Linked DNA regions of Ovis aries. The main gene of each other region encodes a partner of the protein of the gene in region 3 in a complex. Links are inferred from orthologs where the notes say so. Each region holds a gene or a part of one and is shown on either strand. Other genes may lie near its edges.

Region 1 (7,704 bases), on a different chromosome or scaffold from region 3:
GGCCTCCCAGCAGTTTGCGATCTCTTTGCCTGTATGCAGCTCAAAGTTGATAAAGAACAGTGGTTGTATCGAACTCCTCTACAGGTCGGTATATGCCGCTAGTGCAAATGCTGCAGCTCTAGCTGCTTATGGCTTGTCTTATGTATGAATTCAGTTTGCTCACCAAAGTGTATTTCTGTTAGTGGTTTGTGTATTAGGTGAGGTGGGAAAAGAGAGATCATAGAAACTTCGTGTTTCACTTGAACTTGCTCCATGAAATAACTGGGACATACTTGAAAGTAACCTTTCCAGATGATGTAGCTGTCAGAATTTTTGGAGCCTGTGTGGTTTCTAATAGCTTATTGAGAAATGAGAGCTTTAAAGTGGGAAGACATTTGCTTTTAATCTTACAGTGAAGTGACTTTTTATGTGGACTTTTTTTTACAGATGTGAAGGAATCGAGTACTAGTCAATCAAATTTTCTGCAGATTATCACAAATCCATGAGCTGAGTGACTGTGGCTTGCGAAATCATTGTCTCTGGGTCTGATGTAGTTCCTTTCCTCCCCAGTCTCGAACTAGTGAAGAGAAATTAGTCATCAAATTATGAATTACTGTGGAAAAGAAAAAGGTGATTTGTTGATGCTGAGGTGATTCAGGTTCTTTCTTACAGAAGTATTAATTCACCCCTATGCTAGAAATGCATCTTGGTGGGTAGGTCTTTCTCATAAGCCTCCATGGCTCCTTAGATTGGGTGGTTATTAGAAGTACATTAAAACACTGTAGTTTTGAAAATGAAATAGTTCTATAATCAAAGTGTGTTGATGTATTCTAAAGCTAGTAAAATTACCTTTCAATTGGCAGTCTTTGGATGCTTCCCTTATCCTGGGTTTTCTTCCATTAATGGTGAATTTTCTATTTAATTAATATTCTATTGCATTTTACATCATTAACCTTGCCAATATAGTGGTTTTTTCTTACCAAAACACATATTGAAAGTCTTGGCAATTTTTGACATTTATTACAAAACATTTTAGCTTAGGTGCCAGATTCTACATTTCTTCTTTGGAAAGACATTCAGATTTTGCAAGATCTGTCTGTATTTCCTTCTCTAAATGTTATTGTGAAAGAACTTCTCTTTCGGAAGGGCTCCATACTGCTTGAAGACTATGTTCAGAGTAGTTCTCGTCTCTTCCAAAATATTCTGAAGAACTACAGGCAGCAGAGCCCCAGTGCTGACTAATCAAAAAGCAAACTATGTTGGAAATGTACTTGAACTGTTCACTATCCTAAGTGTTATTGGTGCATCCTGTGTAAATGGAAGCTGAACTTGACACCTGGTGCTTTTAACTAGGCATAAATTAAACGTCCGCTCACTGCAAGCATAGCATACCTATACCTCTAATAAAAGTGTAATGCAGTGACATTTTAGTGAATAGGAAGTTTTGAACACTTGTGCCTTGGGGTGTTTATTGAAGCTTTATGAAAACTATCAATGTTTCCTTAGTATCCTTAAAGTTATGTCCGTGCTTTAAAAAGTTTCTCTGTAGGAGAGGTGGTATTTATACCATGTTTTAAAATTCTCTAAAATGAGACATCTTAGCTGCTTTCCACTTTTAAACTATCAAGCCACTCAACTTGCCTATTAGAAATACCTGTAAAGTCTGTGATGTGGTCATCTGGAAAGCCCCTTTGGGGAAACATCACAGTCCCCAGTGTCACTGCCATACAGCTTCACGAGAGTTCTTAACCACAGCTGAAAGGAGCCTGTTACTTTTTAGTTCTTCCAGATACCATTTAGAACTTTAAAGGTGGTGGGTAAAAACTTAAGCAGCTTCTCCATTATCTTAGGTTGCAGGAAACTGTAGTTGAGGTTTAACAGGCTGTGTCTCCCTAAATTAACATTAATCACTATGCTGAGTATCTAAACCATTCTTTTGCATTGATGCATTTTGTATCTGCCTCCATTCATTAAAAGCGTAACACCCATATAATTGTCCTGTGTGTTTGTAAAACATCTTGTCACAAAATTATATGAATGTGGTATCCTTTGGTTACAAGCACAGCTGAGAAACACTTGAACATAAAAAGTTCTTATATTCACTTAAAATGCTGTTTTATCACTCCTGAATTAGCAAACAGGTATGTTATTACTATCTGCTGTTGTCTTCTGGTTTTCTGCCAAATTCCTGCTAGCTAGATGTGTTCAGAAAGGCTCTACTTCACCTTCTCTGTAATCATAATAGCCAGCAGTTGTTTATTACGTATGTGTGTGACCTAGAGTGCATTATTTGGTTAATTTCATTTCATAATGAGAAAACAAACTCAGAAATCACATAACTTGTCCCCCCTTTCTGCTGCGTTCCCAGGGCTCCCTTAGAAACTTCCAGCTCTGTCTATGCCATCTCTCTCATCGTCTCCAGTGAGATTGAGTTAGGATTGTTTTAGCACAGTACAGTGACGGTATAATAGTTAACCTGAGATATCTTGAGGCTGTTTAGTGTCAGCTCTGTTGGAGAAAAAAATTTAACCTACTTGCTAATGCTGCTAGTAGCCCTTCACTTCATCACAAACATGAAAACATGCTTTGGCCTATGGGAGCAGAGATAAGTCAAGAGCAGCTCTGGAGAGACACCCACTATGTTAATGCTGGAGTTAGGACTTCAGTTCTATTTTCACCCTTTATTGGGAATGCAGAGCAACATTACAGTCTTGGATCATTAAGTGAACAAATGTGGCTGGTACAGGATTGACAAGCAGGCCTGCATTCTGGGATTAAGTGGTTTTCCAGAAGTGGGTAGGAGCAAAAACAGGTGCAAGGTCTTCTTAAGAGAACATCACTCAGCCGCCAAGGGGTGTTCTGTCTTCAACTCAGTAATGGCTGGAAGGAGTGCCAGTCCTGGTCAACCATCCATGTTCTTCATCACAGCAAACTGGAATCTCTAGTTTTTCAAATTAGTTGTAGAAGAGTAAATGCCTCCAGACTGACTTATAAACTGATCAGGGTGACTACTAAGTGTCCTCCGTTTGTAAACTAGCAGAATCTTCAGAGTGACTGCTGAAGCACAGAGCCCTTCATGTGCTCCCAGTTATTGTACAGAGCGTAGAGGCTCGTGAGCGTTAGTCCTGCTAGACCGCCTCGTGCTGCCCCTCGAAGGCCGCCTGGGAGAGGAAAAGGGAGAGAGTCATTACACACTGTCCCATCAGAGGGCAACCTAAGAGGTTTGCAAAGCTGGGACACACTCTTCAGATTTATGAAGATTCCATCCCAAACAGGAGAGTAATCTCTAAAAATAATAAACCAAGACTGAAATTCAGTAGACACAGATTCCCCCTAAGTCACCTGCTTAATATGTAAACGATGTATCCATAGTAACAGCCTTTTTTTCACTTTTAATCTCACAGTTATCAGCATGGTGTTTTGACTTTTCTCAATCGGACTTGATCCTAGGACATTTTTGGACAAGACCTTATGCTTCTTATTGAAATCCCAGGCAGATCAGTAATTCCCTGCTAGTCCTAACTTTCAGAACTTCACTGGCACTGCCAATTGATTTAAGGTGGTATGTAAACAAGGCGATACCCTCTTTGGAGACGGTATTAACAGGCTTTGGACTCTGCACAGGTCCTCTAAATATTAATTTTGAAGACTCAAGACAGTGGTGTGAGATAAGATGGCTGTAATCAAGGTCTGAGTTGGGTGCTGATGAAGCACCGACTCTCCCATTACCTATCCCTATTCTGATGTTTCAGAAAACCTCCAACTAATGAGCAGAGACGTAACTTAGCATCATTTAGTCACTCAGTCGTGTCTGACTCTTGCGACCACAAGGACTGCAGCCCGCCAGGCTCCTCTGCCCCTGGAGTTCTCCAGGCAAGAATACTGGAGTGGGTTGAATACTGGAGTGGGTTGCCGTTTCCTTCTCCAGGGGATCTTCCTGACCCACAGATCAAACCTGTGTCTCCTGCTTGGCAGGCAGGTTCTTCACCACTGAGCCACCTGGGAAGCTCCAAGCATCATCATACTAGTTGAAAAACATTCCAGGATTAGGATTAGACTTTGAGCTATTTTTGCTTAACAAAAGGATTTTTTCACGTGGAAAAAGATTATGGAATAGGTATTTCATTTGAAATGCAGAAACAATGTTTCAACCAGTTACCCGAAAATAGTCACCAAGTCTAGTAAAAGGAATAGGGGTACCCAAAGCAGCTTTTAAGAAATACTTGATGTTCTCTTAACAGTTTCACAAATAAGTAGGGATAACACTTCAGGTAGTCTGTATGGTATCTATGGAGTATCTGTCGCAAGTCATGTGTTAGGAAAGCAGGTCCAGTGTTTAAGGTGTACCCTATTAGAAACCCTTTAGCTACATTCCAGTAAACTCCATGAAATTCCGTGACGCTGGTGAGTTAGAACACTTCACACCAACCATTTCTGCAACGCACGTCCTGCCAGATGGCTTCAGATGATAGATTAAAGGGTTACTCCCTCTAGGAGCCTCTCTAGCCTGAAGACTTTAGATAGCTGACTGGCTTAGGCTTCAACTCTGAGGTACCCCGATTATCTCTCTTAAACAAACCCAAATAGAAACTGCAGGCATCATCTATAAACAGCCGTCAAATATGTAGGAAGGGGGATGATACACAAAATTAATCACAGTAAATGGGAGATATTTCCTTCAAGTCTATCTCATCTCTCTGTCTTGCCAGACTTCAGATTAGGCATCAGCTGCATTTGCAACTATTCAGTGTGGCTGGAAAATGGGCTGACAGTGAACTCCAGACCAAATTTCTAGAAATGGAAAAATAAGCAGTGAAGCCCAGGAAAAATAAATGCCTTCTAAGACAGCATCACTATGGTTCAGATACGAGAGTGAAGTTTTCTGAGTGTGACGGATGTTCTTTAAGCAGGTTACACAACCAGAAGGCTCCAGCGTAAACCGGAAGCTCTGAAGGTTTAAGAACTCTGGGGCGTCAGTGGCATATCAAGTGTCTCTTAACAGTTTATCCCCTAGAATGCCTTCTCCTTTCATACCAAAATGAAACAACCTTAGTACAAAACATAACCCTTTTATACCAGCCTTCTCTGAAGGCTAAGAAAAAATTGTTTCTAGCATGACTGAGCAACTGTTTCTAGCAAGAAGACACCAAACATGTAGTGTATGATTTACTAATAATCACAGTAATCCTGACTCAGTGAAAGTTGCTCAGTCATGTCCAACTCTTTGCAACCCCATGGACTACACAGTAGTCCATGCAATTCTCCAGACCAGAATACTGGAGTGGGTAGCCTTTCCCTTCTCCAGGGGATCTTCCCAACCCAGGGATTGAGCCTAGGTCATGCTGCAGGTGGATTATCTACCAGCTGAGCCACCAGGGAAGCCTTTTATTATGTTTTAGTTTTAACTCTTCACAATAATGTCAGGGTTTTCCATCTGGTTGATCTGTTAAAGAATTTAACAGCCTTGGCTTTAGGCTTTCTGTAACAAAACCACCTTTGCCCAACTAAGTACAGGAAGTTGATTAGCAAATACACTTGCTCTGAACACAGTGAACCAAATGAGGCCAATGGTTAACCTCTATAAAGCAAAACAAACAGGAGGCTTCTGTTTTATTGTCTATCTTTTGGATCCTTATACAATTCTTCCAAAAAGGGCAAATGTCATCTCTTCTAAACCCGGGAAAATGAGGCCCGGAATATTTAAGTGCCTAGTTTATTTGGTATAGAGCTGATTACTGGCAGAGCTAACACACTGAACTGACAATCACTTCAGCACAGGGGTCAGCACAATTTTTTTTGAAACAGATGGAAAGTAAACCCACTCTTTACCCGCATGTCTCTAAAGAATGTGTATCCTGCTAGTTCTCGATGTTTCGATCCTACATACTGTAGATACATATAACCACGTAAAATGTCCACAATTTTAAAATGTAAAATACATTCTTAGTCTGCAAACTGTGAAGAGACAGGCATCTGGCCAGAAGGAGCCTGTTGCCCTGTTTTAGGGGAACGGCCTTACCTACACACTGAAACAGCTTACAAATTCAACAAATTTCTGCACTATTTAACTTAAATTGGTTTTAAAAAATTCTTTTTAAAATTGTGATAAAATACACATAACAAAATATTTGCCACTGGTGAGTGTACACGTCAGTGGCGTCACGTACACTGACACTGGGCTACCAGCATCCGTCTCCTTTCCTTCGTGGTTTAGGCTGACTCTAGACTGAAGGAGCACCCAAACTGTTTTCCAAATCCTTGAATATGGGAGTTTTTTAATAAATTCCTGCCACATGAAATTCTGTGCTTTAAGTGGCGTCTAAACCAGAAATCAGTAAAAGACACTGCTTTGCCTCCGTCCGAAATTTTGATGTGCTGAATTAAACTAATCAGCTGGGAACTAGGAACCAGTGTTGGAATTCTGGGTCAGCAGGTCATTCACCTCTTCTGTGTTCCACAATTGTGGTGGAAACTGAAATCTGAAAAACGGAAACCCACTTGTCACCTGACAAAGCACTAATGAATATTCTTTTTTGCTTTTTCTCTTCTGAGCCATGAGCATTCTTTTCCATAATTTATGCTGGAGATGTCCCAGGCTGGGAAGATGCTATTCCTGCAAGAAGTCCTGGACACAGAAAACTAGGTTCTCATTTTTCTCCTGTGATAATCCCAAGTATTCAGCCTTCCCCTTTGTGTCTTTAAAATATGTGTAATGTGTCTTAAACGAGGTGGTAATTCAGTCCATTCTTATACTTAAGGCTGCCCCCAACACAGGAAATGCTGTAATGGCTGACGCTGAGTAAGAAAGCGGGGACGGGTGAGGACTGAGCTGGAGCTCCCGTGTCCATCCCCTGGGGCAGCAGCTCCCCCAGAGCAGCTCCTGCCATCTGCTACCGTACACAACGTGAGCCGTGTGTCTTCCATTTTTGCAAAAGAAGCTAAAATCTCCAGATTTTTGTGTGGAATCTCCTGTTCCTTAAATTTTACTTTGATCTTTCATAAACACAGTTTGGGCCGATTAAACACTTGCTGGCTGAGTGCCACCCCTGTGGTGCCAATTAAGGTTTTAAACTCCTTTGTCTGACCCCAGAGATTTTCAGTGTGAAAGTATTTTTAGGTTTTTAACAAGGTTTTTCTATGCCAACATTTTCGTGTATACAAAAGATATTTCCTGTCTTATTGTGCCTAGGAGATCTTTCCTATCTTATTATGCCTAGGAGCTCTGCTGATGTGTATCAGAACAGGCACGTGCTGCAAGAAGTCTTGTGAGCTCTTAGGGATACAATTCCAAATGTTACCATTTTCAGTATTAAAAAAGCCTCTCGCTCTCAGACATACCATGAAATTTTAGATTTTATAATCCTGTAAGAGAGACTTCACTCTCATTTCTAGTAAAAGTGAGGCAAAAAATGCTACTTGATGTTTGTGATGGAGGAATTACCTAAGAACAAAAATTACTGAAGTGTCTGAAGCATAATAAAACAATCAGAAGTACTGTTCAGAGGCCTGAGTACAAAACATAAACAGGCAATTATGGCATAAATTTAGGCAATTTAAAACAAATGTGAGAAAAATCTGGGGCTGTCACTAGTTTTATGATCTTTTGAAAAAGAACGTCTTTAATGTGCTCATCTATAAAACTGGGGTATTGTGATGATCACTTCACAGAGTTTAACAAGTTATACATTAAGTGGTTACTACTGAGAATATAACCATAACTCAGCA
Region 2 (7,704 bases), on a different chromosome or scaffold from region 3:
GGTTCTGGCAGGACAAGGAAGGGAAGAGGACAGCAGTAAGAACCAGGGAGATTCCCATCCTGCAATCAGGGCCTGGAGAGACACACTCACATTCACGTGGACTGTGTGTGTGTGTGTGCATGCCAGGTCTCACATGCCAGAGCAAATACTGCTCATGTTCCAAATCCAAGTATCTGAATATCAGGATTTACCAAAAAAATTTACTCAAATCTGTTTACGGGTACTACTACCCAAACTTATCTGGTTTCATACTTTAGACAGGGATACATTTTTTTTAAAAAGTATCCATATTTATTCAGCTTCTGAGTTCAAATAGTATGTGACACTGTATTATGCAAATTTGAATAAAATGAGTTTCAACAGCAAGGGGTTTACCTAAAAATATGTCCAAATCTATTCAGCTTCCACGGCTGGCAAATATGGGGTTTCTGACTCCTATATATTGACTAGCAAGTTTGGACAGCAAGGGATTTATCCAAACACTTCTCTGAATCTGTTCAGTTCCTGATGCCTGCAATAGTTGTCAGTTACTATCAACAGAATAAAGAAAGGTGTATGAGTACTTGGACCTCAGTAGTCCTATCACAGATTTCACCCATGGATATAGTTAACAATTAAATGTATATGTCAGCAACAGCATAGTGCCTGTCACACAATAGGCCCCAAATAGATGTCAGCTACAATCATTAATATTGTTAGTAAGATACATACAGTTAGTACAGGGCCTGGTAGCAAACAGCCTTAAAATAAATACCATATCAGTATCATTATCAATATTATTAATAACCAAAGATCTTTGGCATACAACAGGCTTGTAATAGGTGTCACTTATCAATAAAGTGAAAATAAGATGAGTTTTCTAGTACCTGGCACACCTTAGCCCAAAATAGATGCCAGCTTTTACTATTATTGATAAATAAGGTATAAATACTAGCAACAGCAGCACAGTAGGCCTAAATGATAGATCCTATCATTACTTTATATACTGTTAACCACAGTGTATGATAAGCACTTAAGAAGACTCAAAATACATGTCAGCTATTGACATGGTGAACAATAAGGTATGGACAACTCACACAGTGCCTAGTTCCACAGCAGGTCTGAAATAATGTTATCTACTAGTATGTTACAGAACAAAGTATCAGCACCCTGCGACTATACTTGGCCGACAGGAGGCTGCCATAGGTGTCAGCTTACTATTACTATCCTTATTATACTTCCAGGAATTAACTGATGGGTTAAACTTTGGCTACAGAAGACCCCAAAATACACATCAACTGTCAGTGTTAAGGACGAAATGTCTATTCCATACCCCACCTCCCCTCCTCCTCATAGGACAGGAATAGGGGTCAGTAACACGTATTGTTGGGAATCCCTGGTAGCTCAGAGGTTAAAGCATCTGCCCGCAATGCGGGAGACCCGGGTTCGATCCCTGGGTAGGGAAGATTCCCCTGGAGAAGGAAATGGCAACCCACTCCCGTCCAAGTATTCTTGCCTGGAGAATTCCATGGACGGAGGAGCCTCGTAGGCTACAGTCCACGGGGTCGCAAAGAGTCGGACACGACCGAGCGACTTCACTTTCACTTTCTTTCACTTTCAACACGTATTGTTAACAAGGAAATGCCTGCCACCCCACTGCTTGGTGCACAATAGGCCCATGCTAGATATCAAGCGGCAGTATCCGCAACAAAGTGCCTGTCAAGTCGGGCACATGGTAGGCCTCTCTTCTCTTAGTTCTCTCACCAGGCTCCAAATGTTTGAGGATGCCTCTCTTGGCCAAGCGGGTCTGCAACGCAACAGGCAGCGGCATAGCGGATGGCAGACAGGCCTACGGAAGGACAGACAGCCTGAAAAACAGCTCAGATGAGGACTGAATCTGGTTACAAGAGTAACCAAGGGCCTCCCCGCAGCATGTACTCAATCTGGACCCCCATCTACACTAGGAGGGAAATAGACCCTACCCGCTGAAAGGTGGAAGGGGTTGTAAACAGCAATATCACCAACACTCTCACCAACTCCGCTCTCCCAGGCCAGTGGCTGCAGCACCGGGTTCCCGTCCTAGGCCCAGGCTCCGCCCAGCCCAAGGGGCCATGCGCGGCTCCCCCACTACCCAAAATGGTTTCACCCAACGTCCCCCAAAGACTGCTGGGTGGGAGGAACCAAAGCGTTGGGATGGGGGAGCACAGTGTAACACCTCCTCCAGCTCCAAAAAATGCACCCACCCCAAATTACCAATACAGTCACGCAAGTAGTGGACGACTTTCCAACTGGCCACCTCTCTCTCGTCGTCTCTATGAGCGCCAGGACCACACGACTCTCTTCTCCCAAAGCACAGAATGAGTTTCTCTCTCCCCGAGCTTAGACGTAACTGCACGACGCTCACGCAGTGAAAAGATGACGCAAACCTACCTAGCCAATGAGAATGCGCTTTGATCTGAAGTCTGGCGAAACAACAGAACCGTTGCCCTGGGATAGGTGGAAAGCTCGGGCGCTTGTATACGTTTCCAGTGGAGGTGTGGCCCGGCCAGGGTTTAGCGATACTGCGCGGCCGGACGCCGGCGCCATGGAGGAGTATGCTCGGGAACCTTGGTACAGCGAGGGGCATAGGTGTCGGGACTGTTGCTGCGGCGCCACGGCCAGCGGTGGGAGGCGGGTGGGGGAGGCACGGGCCACACAGCGCCACGTCCCAGACTCGGAACACATTTAGATTTTTGTTGTCTTCTGCTCCTCTCCACTTGGTTTCTCTTACTCGGGCTCCGTTAAAAGGGGCCACAATTGTGTGCCTGCAGAAGAAGGTTTGGTGCAGGACGGACCACTCCACGTTTTCCTTGATTCCGTACCTCCCAGCCCCTCTGTTAAAGACACGCTGGTCGAATCCATTCCAGCCAGGGGGTGGTGCGGTGTTGAGCGGGTATCCCCTGGAAAAACGCATGGTTTTTCCCAGGTCGCTTTGGTTAATGCTGGCGGGGCCTGGATGAGCCTGACCATGATTGTGGTCATGGAGGGGTGATGGGTCCTCCGCACTCTATGTGCTTGATTTTCCCCAGTTGTGCGAGGGTGAAAAGGGAAGAGGACGTGGCTTTGTTGGACGTGCTCATTATCGGAAAAAGGGGTGCTACCCCATTCTGCTTAAGGAACAGTGCCTGCAACACCTGTAGCGTAATTCAAACGTGCCAATTCTTTAATTAATGCCCTCTCATTAATTCATTTAATCTTTGACAGTAGTCAACCAGTTGGTTGATTCCCTGGTTGGCTGTGAAGGGGAGGGGCGGACAGGGCCAAGACTGATGTTTTCCCCTCTTCACATTATTTTTTGCTTAAATGAGGGGAGAAATAATCCCAGTATTATCTGAAGTGCTAGTTCTCATTTGGGTGACGTATTGCTCCCAGTTGGAAAGAGATCTTGTGACTTGGCATGAGGGAGCGCTCACATTAACCTCATCCTCCCCTTCCCGCTTGCAGCCCATGGCGAATTGTGGATGATTGCGGTGGAGCCTTCACTATGGGTGTTATCGGCGGTGGAGTCTTCCAGGCCATTAAGGGCTTCCGTAATGCCCCTGTCGTGAGTCCTAGCCTTCCCTGGGTGCTGCTGAGGTCCTGCCCTGACCACATGGGATACTGTTCTGAAACTGCTTGGAACTGCCAGTCACGTGCACTTATTCATTCTGGTGTCTGCTTACCTACTGTGTGGCAGGCCTAGCTCCAGGATCTGGGAGTTTGGGGGAACTGCAAACATGACCTCTGACCCTCACCCTGCTGGAGCTCCTCAGAAATGCTGTGCTGTCAAAAGGGTCATAAAACCAAAACCTAATTGTGTGCAAAGTCAGTCAGATTTTACCTAGAGTCAGATTCTGGGTGGGAAGCCTGGGAAAAGGGAAGTGACAGGAGTTTAACTGGCAGGAGGAGGACAGCCTTAAAGTTGAGCACATGCTTTTAATGTAACATAATCAATTCTCTCTCTCTGACAACACTCCCCTTTTCCCTTCTTGGGAGATCTCATCGAATGTCATGACTTTAAATGCTATCCACTTGCCAAGGTCTCTGCAATTTCTCTAGCCCTGTACTTCCTCCCAAATCCTGGCACTCTCTTTCCTGAATCTTTGTCCAGGTTTCTCCCTCTCATCCTCAAGGTCTCAGAACAAATGCCCCCTTCCTTTAAGAGGCCTTTCCTGACCTCTCAGCCACTGTCATAGCTCTTTATCTCATTTCCTCTAGGGTCCTGATTGCTGCCTGAAGCTATCTTGTTTATCTGAATCCTTATTCAGGATCTGTCTCTCCCACTATAATGTGAGCTCTGAGAGGGTAGGGGCCAGGTCTACCTTGTTCACTGCTGTATCCCTGCATATACCATGGTGCTTGGCACATCAGTGCTAAGTACTGAATGAATGAATAACTTCCTATCCTAGCTTTGAGAGCACTTGTAGTGGGCCCTAGTTCTTGGCCACTTCTCCACATCTGTACCCTTGAGGCCCCTAACAGGTTTCCTCCCTCCATTCCTCTCTTAAAAACTAGAAACCTTATCTGCCAGTGACCTGAACCCTGCTCTGACTCCCTTCCTCCTCACTTTCCCTCAGGGAATGCGGCACCGATTGAGAGGCAGTGTCAATGCTGTAAGGATCAGAGCCCCTCAGATTGGAGGTGAGAGGTTTGGGGAGACACGTATGATAACAGAGTTGGGAATGCTTGCTCCTTGGAGTCTAGACTGCAAGTTGAGGGTCCAGATTCTAGCCCCAACTCTGCCTGGGGCTTCCCGGGGGGAGTGTTATTTCTCGGCAGTTTCATACGGGTGAGTTGTGGAGTTTAAATCCAGGCCCTGGCTCTTCCCTGATGTCTGTGTGACCTTGGGCTAGTGGCTGAACCTCTCTGAACCTCACCTGTAACATGGGAATGATAAAAGCAGTAACCACCTCAATCAGTTTTGTCGTTTATGTAACTTACATAGTACTTACTAAGTGCTGGTTGCTTGCTAAGCACTTTGATAATATTAACTAATAAAAATTTTCAGAAGTCAGTAACATGAAGTGTGTAGATCAGGTCTTGGCACATGGTAAGACTTCTGTAAATAACTATCATTGTTAACTGGCTCTCCTCACCCATTTCCTTCTCTCCTAAACCCAGGTCAGATTCCAATTCTATGTGGTAGTTACGAAGGTCAGAGTTGCTCTGTTAAAAGCCGTATAGACAGAAGTTCCCTGGTGGCCTAGTGGTTAGGATTCTGAGCTTTCATTGCTGTGACCTGGGTTCAGTCCCAGGTTGGGGAACTGAGATCTTGAAAGTCCAATGACAGGGCCAAAAAAAAAAAAAAGCCACATTGAAGCAGACAAGTCTGCTTGTAACCACGTATCCGCTCCCTATGAAGGTGAAGGGAGTGCTGATGGGGATTATAAAGAGCTTGAAGGAGCTACCACAGGGGCAGGTGGACATTGTCTTCTAGGAGTTTGCCATGTGCCTTTATGTCTGGTTATTCTCCCCATTCTTTGCCACAGTATTCAGGCCCTGGGAGTCCCTGAGCCATGGTTTCTCAGGACTACCCGCAGGCACTGATTAGGCTTTGGTTTCCCCACAGGTAGCTTCGCTGTGTGGGGGGGCCTATTTTCCACCATCGACTGCGGTCTGGTGCGGCTTCGGGGCAAGGAAGATCCCTGGAATTCCATCACCAGTGGAGCACTGACTGGGGCTGTGCTGGCTGCCCGCAGTGAGTGCCCCAACCCCAGGCCCCAGCCCCTTCCACCCTGCTCTTCCTGTTCTCACCGCTCTCCACCTCCCTGTCCCCTCCTTTCTCCAGGTGGCCCATTGGCCATGGTGGGCTCGGCAATGATGGGGGGCATCCTGTTGGCCCTCATCGAGGGTGTTGGCATCCTTCTCACTCGCTATACTGCCCAGCAGTTCCGCAATGGTGAGTAACCAGTGAAGCTGGTCATGGAGAGGTGGGAAATGCTCTGTCTTGTCTCCTCCACTCACGTTTACCTGTTTATCTCCTTTCTAGCACCCCCATTCCTGGAGGACCCTGGCCAGCTGCCCTCTAAGGAGGGAACCCCAGGCCCAGGCTACCCCAGCTATCAGCAGTACCACTGAGGAAGTGACCACCTGTCACCGCCACTGTGGGAGCTCCTCCTCGGTCCCCTCCCCGATGATCTACCTCGAAGGGAGGGCTGGCTCCCAGTTGGCCCATGGGACCCTCGAGAGGGCCTCTATCTGTTCCTTTATCCCAGGTTGGGGGTGGGGCACCCCAGCTGCCCTGATGGATGGGTCCCTTTTCTCTCAGGGCACCCCAACCCCCATTCACATGCTCTCATCCCAGTCCCTTTGCATGGCACTCTGATGAGTATTTAAAGCCAGTTTTGAAAATGCCTGTGTATGTACTCCTTGAGCCACCCATAGGAGCCGCTCCCTGGGACAGGGTAGAGCCCTCTTCAGGGATGTGGGAACCATCGCATTTGGAGTCACACAGAGAGTCGTCTCTAATAAAGGTTTGTGGATGAGTGAGTAGGAGGGGGTCTATGAATCAAGATGGGAATAGTACATGAATAAAGATGTGTGGGGGCCAAGTGGTGAATCACAAGCAGACAGAAGAGGAATGGGCTTAGAAAAGGAGTGACCACAGATTGCTGGGGTGGAGGTGGTGGTTCAGCATGTGGCACCTCTGAGCCCTCTTCCCTACGTCCTCATTGCCAAGGCTGAGAAATCTGACCTCACAATGAACAGTCTGCCTAGATAGCAGTCCCCACATTTGTGAAGATAATTCCCCCCTCCATGTGGCTTCATCAGGGACCTGGGATGGAAGTAGGGATCCAGGAGACCCAGCTTCCTTCAAGAAGGTACCTTTAGTTTCCTCTGCACCACAGCCATATTTGTGCTCTGCAATGCTCAGTGTTGTCAGTATTTAAGAGTACCACAGAATAACCAGAAAATGAGTTTTCATTTGGGGGTGGGGTGGGGATTATGGGAAAGAGAACTTCCTGGATAGACATTGGCCCCAAACACTGTCTCTTGTGGGCAAACACCTACATGTGTGGGGCAGACGCCTCCAGTGGGGTGCAGATGGCCTCATGGGAGACACACAAACTGTCCCTTGCAGAGAGGTGGAAATGCTCTCTCTCTCATACAAAGTCACTCCCTGGGGGTGCAAATGCTGAGTTCTCAGGCCTCCCAAGGCCTCAACGAGGACCTAGTGATCCTTGATGGTGGTAGAACTGCAGTACTCCGTGACGGAATCAGTGCCAGGTATGGGCAGCTGGCCCAGTGCCTATAGCTCTCAATGTCACAGCAGGGCTCTAGCCTTGAATTTAGAGACTCCACCACCACGCCACCAGCAGCAACACACCTGCCAGTGCAGGACCTGGTCTCCAGCCAGACCCAGGGTATCTCGGTTTGCAGCCCTTGTGTTTATAGACCACTTCCGTTGGTTCCGCCCATTCGGTGCATCTAGGCCTCATACTTCGTGACTTCCAGACCCCATTCCCCGCTGTTTCCAGACCCCACCCTGCTCCTATCAAACAGGCACGCTCTAGCTCTTCTAAGCGGTGTTCTGTCAGCTCTCTGTCTCCACCATCCTCAGCCCTCTGTAACGTCCACAGACGTCTCCAGGATCCTCTCGCTGTGGTCCGCCCTCTCTCCCACCCAGCCCTCTTAGCCTCCTGCAGGCCCTCTGTGTATCAGCTCCAGCTCTCCTGAGGCCCTGCCCCTGCTGTGTCTCCCTCAGTA
Region 3 (7,704 bases):
TGGATGCTGACAGGACCTAGGCTGACAGCGTCTGCGGGTTCGAAACCTTCCCGCCCTCCCCAGGGACTGTCTCTTTGCTATTACTCCTTGGTCTACATGAGAAACAGCCATGCGATTTATGATGCTATATGCCATATTCTTTCAAAGTACAAGAATTAAGCTTTCAACGAATTAGATTTTTCAATGCTGAAGCTTTGCACTCAGGGAGTAAGAAATCTGGGCCTTCACAGGCTACACTGGCTTTCTCTCTGTGACTGGAAAGCCCTATGGAAAACTTCCTTCTCGATGGGATCCTTCAAAAAAAAAATCAATGTAGCTTTTCTGCGCCTGCCTACTCCTGGTTCAGGCAGGCTGTGCTTAAGACATAAGATCTGGAATCAGACAAACTTGGACTAGGTTCTGGCTCTCCCTCTTACGAGGCTTCCCTCGTGGCTCAGAAGGTAAAGAATCTGCCTACAAATGTGGGAGACCCGGGGCTTGATCCCTGAGTCGGGAAGATCCCCCGGAGGAGGGCATGGCAACCCCCTCTAGGATTCTTGCCTGGAGAATCCCATGGACAGAGGAGCCTGGCAGGGTACAGTCCATGGGGTCACAAGGAGTCAGACATGACTGAGAGACTAACACATTCACTTTCTCCCTCTTACTGGCTTGGTCATCTTAGCTTTGTTAATTTACTCTCTTTAAATGTCAGTGTTCTTCTGCATGCGGGATAGAGACCGCGCCCGGCATGAGTGGTTCTCGTGCGAATGAGCACTCAGACCTTGGGCAGTGTGTGTGGTGCACACTATGCTCTCAGTAAGCTCCAACAATTCCCACTATGATCATGAGGTCATGGATCAGGTTTTTAAAAAGACTGGACACTTAGTGCATGAGTTTAACATGCTGGTATAGTCTAAGCTTTTACAATTAGAATTGAAATGTCCCTGTATGGACCTCTGGGTGCTGCCCATAAATCAAAGCATTTCAAGTAGCGAACAAGGAGCTAATAACATAATCACAACCCAACCATTCCAATTTATTACATAAATTTCACCAGTCTCGGAACCACTATGTGACTTCTGCCCACCACTCCCCCGGTCACCCCAACGTTTTTTCCTCCCTATTATCGGAGTTGGAATAACAGCCTTAAAGACTAACCTCAGGATGCGATCTGCACTTTTCTAGGGCTTTCCCATATATCTTATTCGGACTAGATGAAGAAAAAAGTTCTCTGAAGATCGTGTAAAACAAGCCACCTGAAAATCACAGAAAAAGGAGATCTAGCAAAACAAGAACGAGACAAATGGAGAGAGAAAAAGACATTCAGGAGGTTTATACTTGCTGTGATTTCAACCTGTAATGGTGATTCCAATAAGCACCACTATTAAGTAGGTAAAATCTCTTCCAGCTTCTTTCACTGTAAAGAGAAAACACCCCTGGTTACACGTGTGCCGGACATGAGCTGGATGCTCTTGGCTTCAGGATTTCCAGCAGTTGAGATGTGGGTTTCGGACACGGGAGGGGTCGGCGTGTGTTCTGGAGCAGCTGCTGTCAAATCTGCGCATTGGAATCACTTGAAAAGTTATTTGGAAAGAACCACAGCCAACTCTGGGAGCAGGGCTGAGGAGTTGGTACTTTAGGTACTTGATCTTAATGCCTCCTTACTGTCTAAGATTAGGAAATCCTTTGATCCACTTCCTCTGAACCCTCCCACATGAAGTGGCAGCTCACGCCTCCCAGTTAAAGGCTAGCTGTTTCTCCTGCTCGCAGACCTGGTGGAGACTTCCACCTTGCAAGACACGTGCTCTGGCCAGGGTTCAACGTAACTGGAAGGAAGGAAGAAATGGGCTACCCCAGCCCTGAAGCAGCCGGAGGCCCCACCAGCAGAGCCAGCTATATCCTAAGGGAGACGGGAAGGGGCGCGAAATACAGACTGGGACGAATGGGAGCTGACTGATCAGCACTCTCCGATCAAACACTGAAGTGTGACAAGCAGCCTGAGAGCTGGTGCACAGCTCGGCTCGTGCTGGCAAAGATGGAGCGAGCGTGGTCCACATTAAGTGAAGTAAAAATGACAGCACTGCCACACGAACTGTGGGTGTACTCAAGCGGGTGTCGGACACCAGGGCCGGCTGTCCCGAGAGGGGCCTGGAAAACACTGCCCACAGGTGCTCTGACAGCCCTGGGGATGGCCCAGCACTGAAGCCAGGTGGCAACAGTCGTGACAATGAACAGCTCGGTTTCTGGACCTGAACCGCTCTTCACTCCTGGCATTCATTTACCGAAGGAAGGCCAACTCCATCAGGAGGCACTTGCGCAAGCATAAGATTCCCCTGGTCCTTCACCAGAGCCCCTCAGCCATTAACTTGGTGACCCCATGCTGGAAAAGGGGATACTTCAAGGTACACCGGACAGAGTCTAAGCTGACATCAATAACCTAAGGAGTCTCTATGGTCTCTCTGTTGAGTACCTGTGGTGGCTATGTAATAAAGAGCCTGGCATGTAAGAGGGTCACAGCTGGGTGGACTTACCATACGGTCATTTCCCTGATTTTCAAAGTATAACTGGAACGGCTATACTCAGTCATCAGCAACAATAGTCCCTAAACTAGGTCCTTTGAGGTGCATTGCCCACCATACCATAATCAGAAAAGTCGAATGGAAGCCTCTAAAACTGCCTGCCACTGATCAAAATAATAAATAAAAAACAGCACTGCATCTAAGGGCCAAATGTCAGAGACAGCGCTATTCTTAGAAACTAAAGACAGGTGTGGTTGTCCTAAGAGGTACTGGCATGGCTATTAGGAAACTGAGATTAGAAATACATTCAATTTTTAGTTTTGCAAAACTGGGGAAATTAGCCTTATACATACTACTGAGCCTGTCTGAAAAAGTAAACGGTGAGATTCAAATGAGGTGAAGTAACACCTGGGAAATCTACTTGTCTGTTACAAAACATCAAACAACGGTTTTATAGGCTCTCTCCACACCAAACTAATAAAAGTTGAGAAAAATCTTACAGGCATAATTCAGCAAAGTTGCATCAAAATCAACCGTCAAATGTGAATTCTCAAATCTGGGAAGAAAATTGCAGGCCTATCTTCTCTGCTTTGAACTGCCTTCAACGGTTCTACCTTTTAATTTGCGTGAACCGTTTATTCTCGGTTCTGAACTTATATAAAGGGCGTCGGCAGCTCCCGTCACGTTTGCTGAGACTGATCGCTACACGGAATCCCCTTTACCTTTCTGTGACGTTGAGAGGACAGTTTCCCCGCCCTGACTCCTGTGCACAGACACTTGCTTGCTGCCGTCCTCCTTCGCGCTCTGGGGGCTCCGTCCTTGCGTCCAGATGGATCTCTGGTTGACTCCCCAAATATACCTAGGTCGCGCCGCCGTGTTCTGCTCTTGCAGCCCCCATCTCCACCTGGGCTCAGTCTGCGAGCAAGCTCTGTGAGGCACGGAGTGCGGCAGAAACCATGGCTTCCCGGGGCACCCATGCAGCCTCTCCGTGCACCGCACAGCTCTCAGGAGAGTGCAGATCATGCTCCCGGAAGGTCGCCCCGCTCAGGGAAGACGCCAGCTGTGAAGAGCAGACCTTCGCGACCTGCCACACACCCGGCCGGGCGCGGGCTCGAGCGCTCGCGTCCACACCGGTGACGCTGCACGGGCGTGTTCGGCAAAAACGTTAGCTCCAACTGCGTCAATCAAGACAGAACGTCTCCTGAAAGGAGCTGACGCCCAGTTTCCCTTCCCTTCGGCTCTCCTTTCACTGGACTTAAAGTACTTGGATTCCTTTCTCTGCTGACATTCACCTGATCCCCGGCAGGCCCCTCGCAAAGGGACCTGGAAGACCGCTAGGAGCCCTGGGAGTGGTAGTTCGAGGGCGGCACTCCTCCCGGAACTGCCGCGGCGCGGGACGCTCAAGGACTACATCTCCCACAGTGCAAGGCAGCCGGGGCGCGCGCGGACGCCTCGGGGCCTCCCTCACGCCCCTGCGCGGACGCCGCGCGCCTCGGCGGGACAGGAAGGCGGGGCTTTGTTGGTGGCCGGCGGGATGGGAGCCCCTGGCGCTGCGTACTTCAGGAACTTGCAAAAATGAAGTTCGCGGTTACAAACCGCCTATCCCGGTGTCCCACTAGAAGGGGCCGTGCCAACTGGGGAATTCTCGGTCTGACTGTGGCCCTGCTGTTGCCTCTGGGCAGACAATGTAGCCTTTTCGTTTGGTGTTCTTAAACAAGTCGGGCAGGAAGTAGCGAAGACTACCCCAGAGCCCGCAGGTGGGGAGGGCGAAGCACTCTCAGAGCCTGCGTGGGAGCACAGAATCCCCGTTGCGCTCTCGCCGCCGCCAGGAGTCCTCGGCGTCGGCGTCGGCATCGGCGCCGGCGCCAGGTCCCCTGGAGCCGGCTGACAGGCGGCGTTGCCCTCGGCCCCGCCCCCCCAGCTCCTCTGCGCACGCGCCAGCGAGGGGGCGTGTCCCGGTGCGGTGCGACGGCCAGGAGGAGGAGCGTCGGCGCTGGGTATCCATGGCGATCGGACGCGGCCGGCTCTTGCAGCTGCAATGGCAGTGCCTCTTGGCGCGGCCCCCGCCTCTTGGCTGCTTTGGCTCAGCTTTCGGGAGCCCCGGGGCTGCCGCGGGGCGCGCAGGGTTCAGGTGACTCTCCGGGGGTGGGGTGGCGTTGGGGCGGGCGCCCGGGAGCCCCGACAGGAGTAGCCCCTCACTCCCCCGCCTCCCTTTCTCTTTCTTTTCATTGATTCCGACCTGTTAGCGCGGGAAAGGTCTGGAAGGACGGAGAGAGGAAGTGTCTAAAGCTTGGAAGCGTGGGGTAACCCCAAGTCACGGTACAAGTCGAGGAGCTTCCCTGGAATATTCTGTCTCCTCGGTTCACTCAGTTAGTGGGCCCTGGGGGTACGGGGGCGTGCGAGCCCCTAGACCTGGAGCAGCCCTCGCGGAGAGCCGCCGCGTGGACGCGCCCACCTACGCGGGCAGGTGGGAATCTCCGCGCTCCCGCGCCGCGTAGCCGGCAAGGCTCCCCTCCAAAGCATGTTCCCGAAGTTATTTCCTACCTAATTCTGGGGCCGGGTTTTTGTCTTTTTTATGACTTTAGAAAAGTCGATTCTACTTATCAAAACATAATCAATTTTCTCTCCTGCACCCAGTTCACGAATGGAGGACTCAGCCCCCTAACCAGGTAACGCTTTTAGGCAGGTTGGTCTGGGAGCTGCACCTCCGCCATCACGGCCAGGTTTGCGTTTCTCAGCAGACCCTGGGGGGATGCCTTCTGTTAATAGACAGACACCCCTCGGTGCTCGCTCCCGGATTCTCTTATGTAGTCTTCTTGTCCAAGCGGAGGAGGGTGTGTGTATGTGTGTTGTTCTGGTGACAGGGGTCTCGTCTTCGCTCCAGTTCTCTCGGGGTGCCTGGCGGCTGAAGGGTGGTCCTCTTCTGCAGTCACAGAAGGAGATTGGAGGAGTGAGGTCGGGGAGGGGCAGGGCGCAGGAGGTGGCAACTGCTTTCCAAAAGGAACTTCAGCTTAACTCCAAGGACAGTGGCTCACTTCACAGAGTGAATGTCGGAGGAAGTATCCCTAGTGCTGTCTTCATGTCTTATTACATCCCTTTCTTTCATGCTGAGCTGTTCCTAGCTCTGCACCGGTCTTCCCAGTTAGATTGCAAGGTGGAGGAATAGTGCGAAGGACCGTTTGGATTCTTGAAGACTCTCTTTTTGCTTGTAGATCTCGATTTATAGATATAGAAAGTCTGCCATATTATGCCTTCTAATAAACCAGATGTCTGTGTTTAAGCATAGAAAAGGATTCTGTTACTAAGCAGTGACTAACACTACAGACTACTACTTACCAGCTCAACTACTTAAGGTATATTTTTTCCCCCTGAATCTCCAGGACTGTGTCCCGTGTCCATCCTGCCAGGATCCATTACCCCGTTTACGCTAGTTTCAGAAGCAGGGCCCCCCTCCCTAGGTATTACAGTGATAGTTGGTTCTTGAGAATAGCTGTAAACGCTCCACATATCACAAGCCTCCTGACAAAATGGTGATAATGCCTGTAAAATTTCTATTATGTAGGAGAGAAAGACAGGAATTTAAAGTAGGAAGATTGAACTTTAAATCAATTTGCCACTGTTACTAAAATTAGTCTTTATATATAAGGTTCTGTTAGTGGGAGCAGGATGATTGTTACCTGATGAATCTTCTATTACTTTGTAAGTTGAGTGAACTTCTTGTTGAAATGATGTAATTAGAATGCCTGTAATTATGCCTGGCATGGAAGTGTGCATGGCAGTCTGTGATTTGGTGGTACATAAATTCTTTTTGGTCAAGAAAAGTCAGATCTTAAGAATGGTTATAGTCTAAGTAGGTGGTTATTTTTAATGTCTTGAGGCAGAAAAAATTAGATTTTAACAAAGAATCACACAAAATGCTTAATATGTTTAAATCTTTTTAACACAAAATATGAATTTGTATAAATATCTTAAACTGTAAGAATATCACAGAAAGCTGCAAGTTGGCTTAGTTTCTGCTTGGTCTAATTTCTTTGATTTATCAGATATTAAGAATCAGGCCCAGAAAGTAGGTTTTTAAAACACTGAACTTAATTCAAAGCAATCAGGTAAAGTTTGTCACTTGAAAAAAAAATCAGTTTTAAACTAAATGTCATCTTACTAGTTATAAAGCTTAATACGCACTGCTTAACTTTGTAGCCATACAGAGCTTCATGACATGCATGGGGCTTCTGGTGGTGAACTGTGTAGCTCTGAAGAATGTGCAGTTAGTTTATTTTATGGAGAAATGCAGATATGCTCTCAATGGTGCCAAAGTCCAGAACGATAAGATATATGGTGACACAGGCGTCACTGTTAATTACCTCATTAGAGCCTCAGTCTTCTGCTCTGGCAGTGCAGGGCTAGGGAGATCTAGTTTAATCATGGAAAACAAAATAGGAACAAATAGGCTGTACTTTCAAACAGATATGAGCTAGTGGGCAGGGGATTCCCTCTGGACCTGGAACACTAATGTAACAATTTTGGGGAAAAATGTTAAAGAAGTTTTAAGCTTTCTGCAGGGTGTGCTCAGAGGACCTGGAGCCCAGAATGCTTGGGGGCCTTTGAGAACCAAGGCTCCAGCTGAAAGGATGTTTTTTGCTGTGATAGCTGTGCTCCCAGATCTTCCTGTGTGTGGGGTTCTCAGTTTTGAGATGAGAACAACCCTCCCTTACAACTCATTACATTTTCAGTACACGGGAAATATTGGAGAGTACACTGTGTTCTCCAGTCTTCCAAGTTCTGTTTAAAAACAAGCACCGCCAAAAACTCTATAATCGCCTAATCTTGTGAATCAGATGTACTACCAGTTAATACCTTGTTCTCTTTCCTTGCAGACTGCTTTTCTTTGTGTGTATGTGTTTGGTTTTTTCCTCTGAAGAGAGAAATACAAACATAAGATTTTGTAGTGTATGCTGATAGAGTCTGCATTTTCGATCGATGTGTTATTAATTTAGAAAATATTTATTGAATGCCTTCTTCATGCTGGGGGTGTTGTGGGGGATAGGCAGTGAGTAGATCTCATGAGGAAGCCCTGCCAGCACAGTCCTTCCACCCCAGTGACGGTGGGCGAGGGAAATGTGTGGTGTCTGGTGACGCGTGCTAAGGAAAAAAATGGGGGAGCATCATGTGTGCGTGAAGTGCAGATTGGAGTTTAGAGGGCATGGCT

The links.
Region 1: TIMM21 (region 3) and mitochondrial import inner membrane translocase subunit Tim23 share a complex: the UniProt entries of both Homo sapiens proteins name them as parts of the TIM23 complex. The link is inferred for Ovis aries from reciprocal best matches to the Homo sapiens genes TIMM21 and TIMM23.
Region 2: TIMM21 (region 3) and TIMM17B share a complex: the UniProt entries of both Homo sapiens proteins name them as parts of the TIM23 complex. The link is inferred for Ovis aries from reciprocal best matches to the Homo sapiens genes TIMM21 and TIMM17B.

What each region holds. Positions count from the first base shown.
Region 1 is NC_056078.1:43,001,107-43,008,810, reverse strand, and holds the end of mitochondrial import inner membrane translocase subunit Tim23, read right to left. Parts: intron 3,141-7,704; coding exon 3,025-3,140; 3' UTR 2,641-3,024; downstream 1-2,640. Other genes in the region: NCOA4 (nuclear receptor coactivator 4), read left to right, coding at 1-102. UniProt on the Homo sapiens protein: Essential component of the TIM23 complex, a complex that mediates the translocation of transit peptide-containing proteins across the mitochondrial inner membrane.
Region 2 is NC_056080.1:56,176,168-56,183,871, forward strand, and holds TIMM17B (mitochondrial import inner membrane translocase subunit Tim17-B), read left to right. Parts: upstream 1-2,526; 5' UTR 2,527-2,563; coding exon 2,564-2,589; intron 2,590-3,462; coding exon 3,463-3,562; intron 3,563-4,574; coding exon 4,575-4,638; intron 4,639-5,566; coding exon 5,567-5,695; intron 5,696-5,785; coding exon 5,786-5,896; intron 5,897-5,986; coding exon 5,987-6,075; 3' UTR 6,076-6,486; downstream 6,487-7,704. Other genes in the region: PQBP1 (polyglutamine-binding protein 1), read right to left, coding at 1-4, 1,744-1,810. UniProt on the Homo sapiens protein: Essential component of the TIM23 complex, a complex that mediates the translocation of transit peptide-containing proteins across the mitochondrial inner membrane.
Region 3 is NC_056076.1:4,426,137-4,433,840, forward strand, and holds the start of TIMM21 (mitochondrial import inner membrane translocase subunit Tim21), read right to left. Parts: upstream 3,822-7,704; 5' UTR 3,522-3,821; coding exon 3,221-3,521; intron 1,397-3,220; coding exon 1,334-1,396; intron 1,236-1,333; coding exon 1,138-1,235; intron 1-1,137. Other genes in the region: FBXO15 (F-box only protein 15), read left to right, coding at 4,502-4,629. UniProt on the Homo sapiens protein: Participates in the translocation of transit peptide-containing proteins across the mitochondrial inner membrane.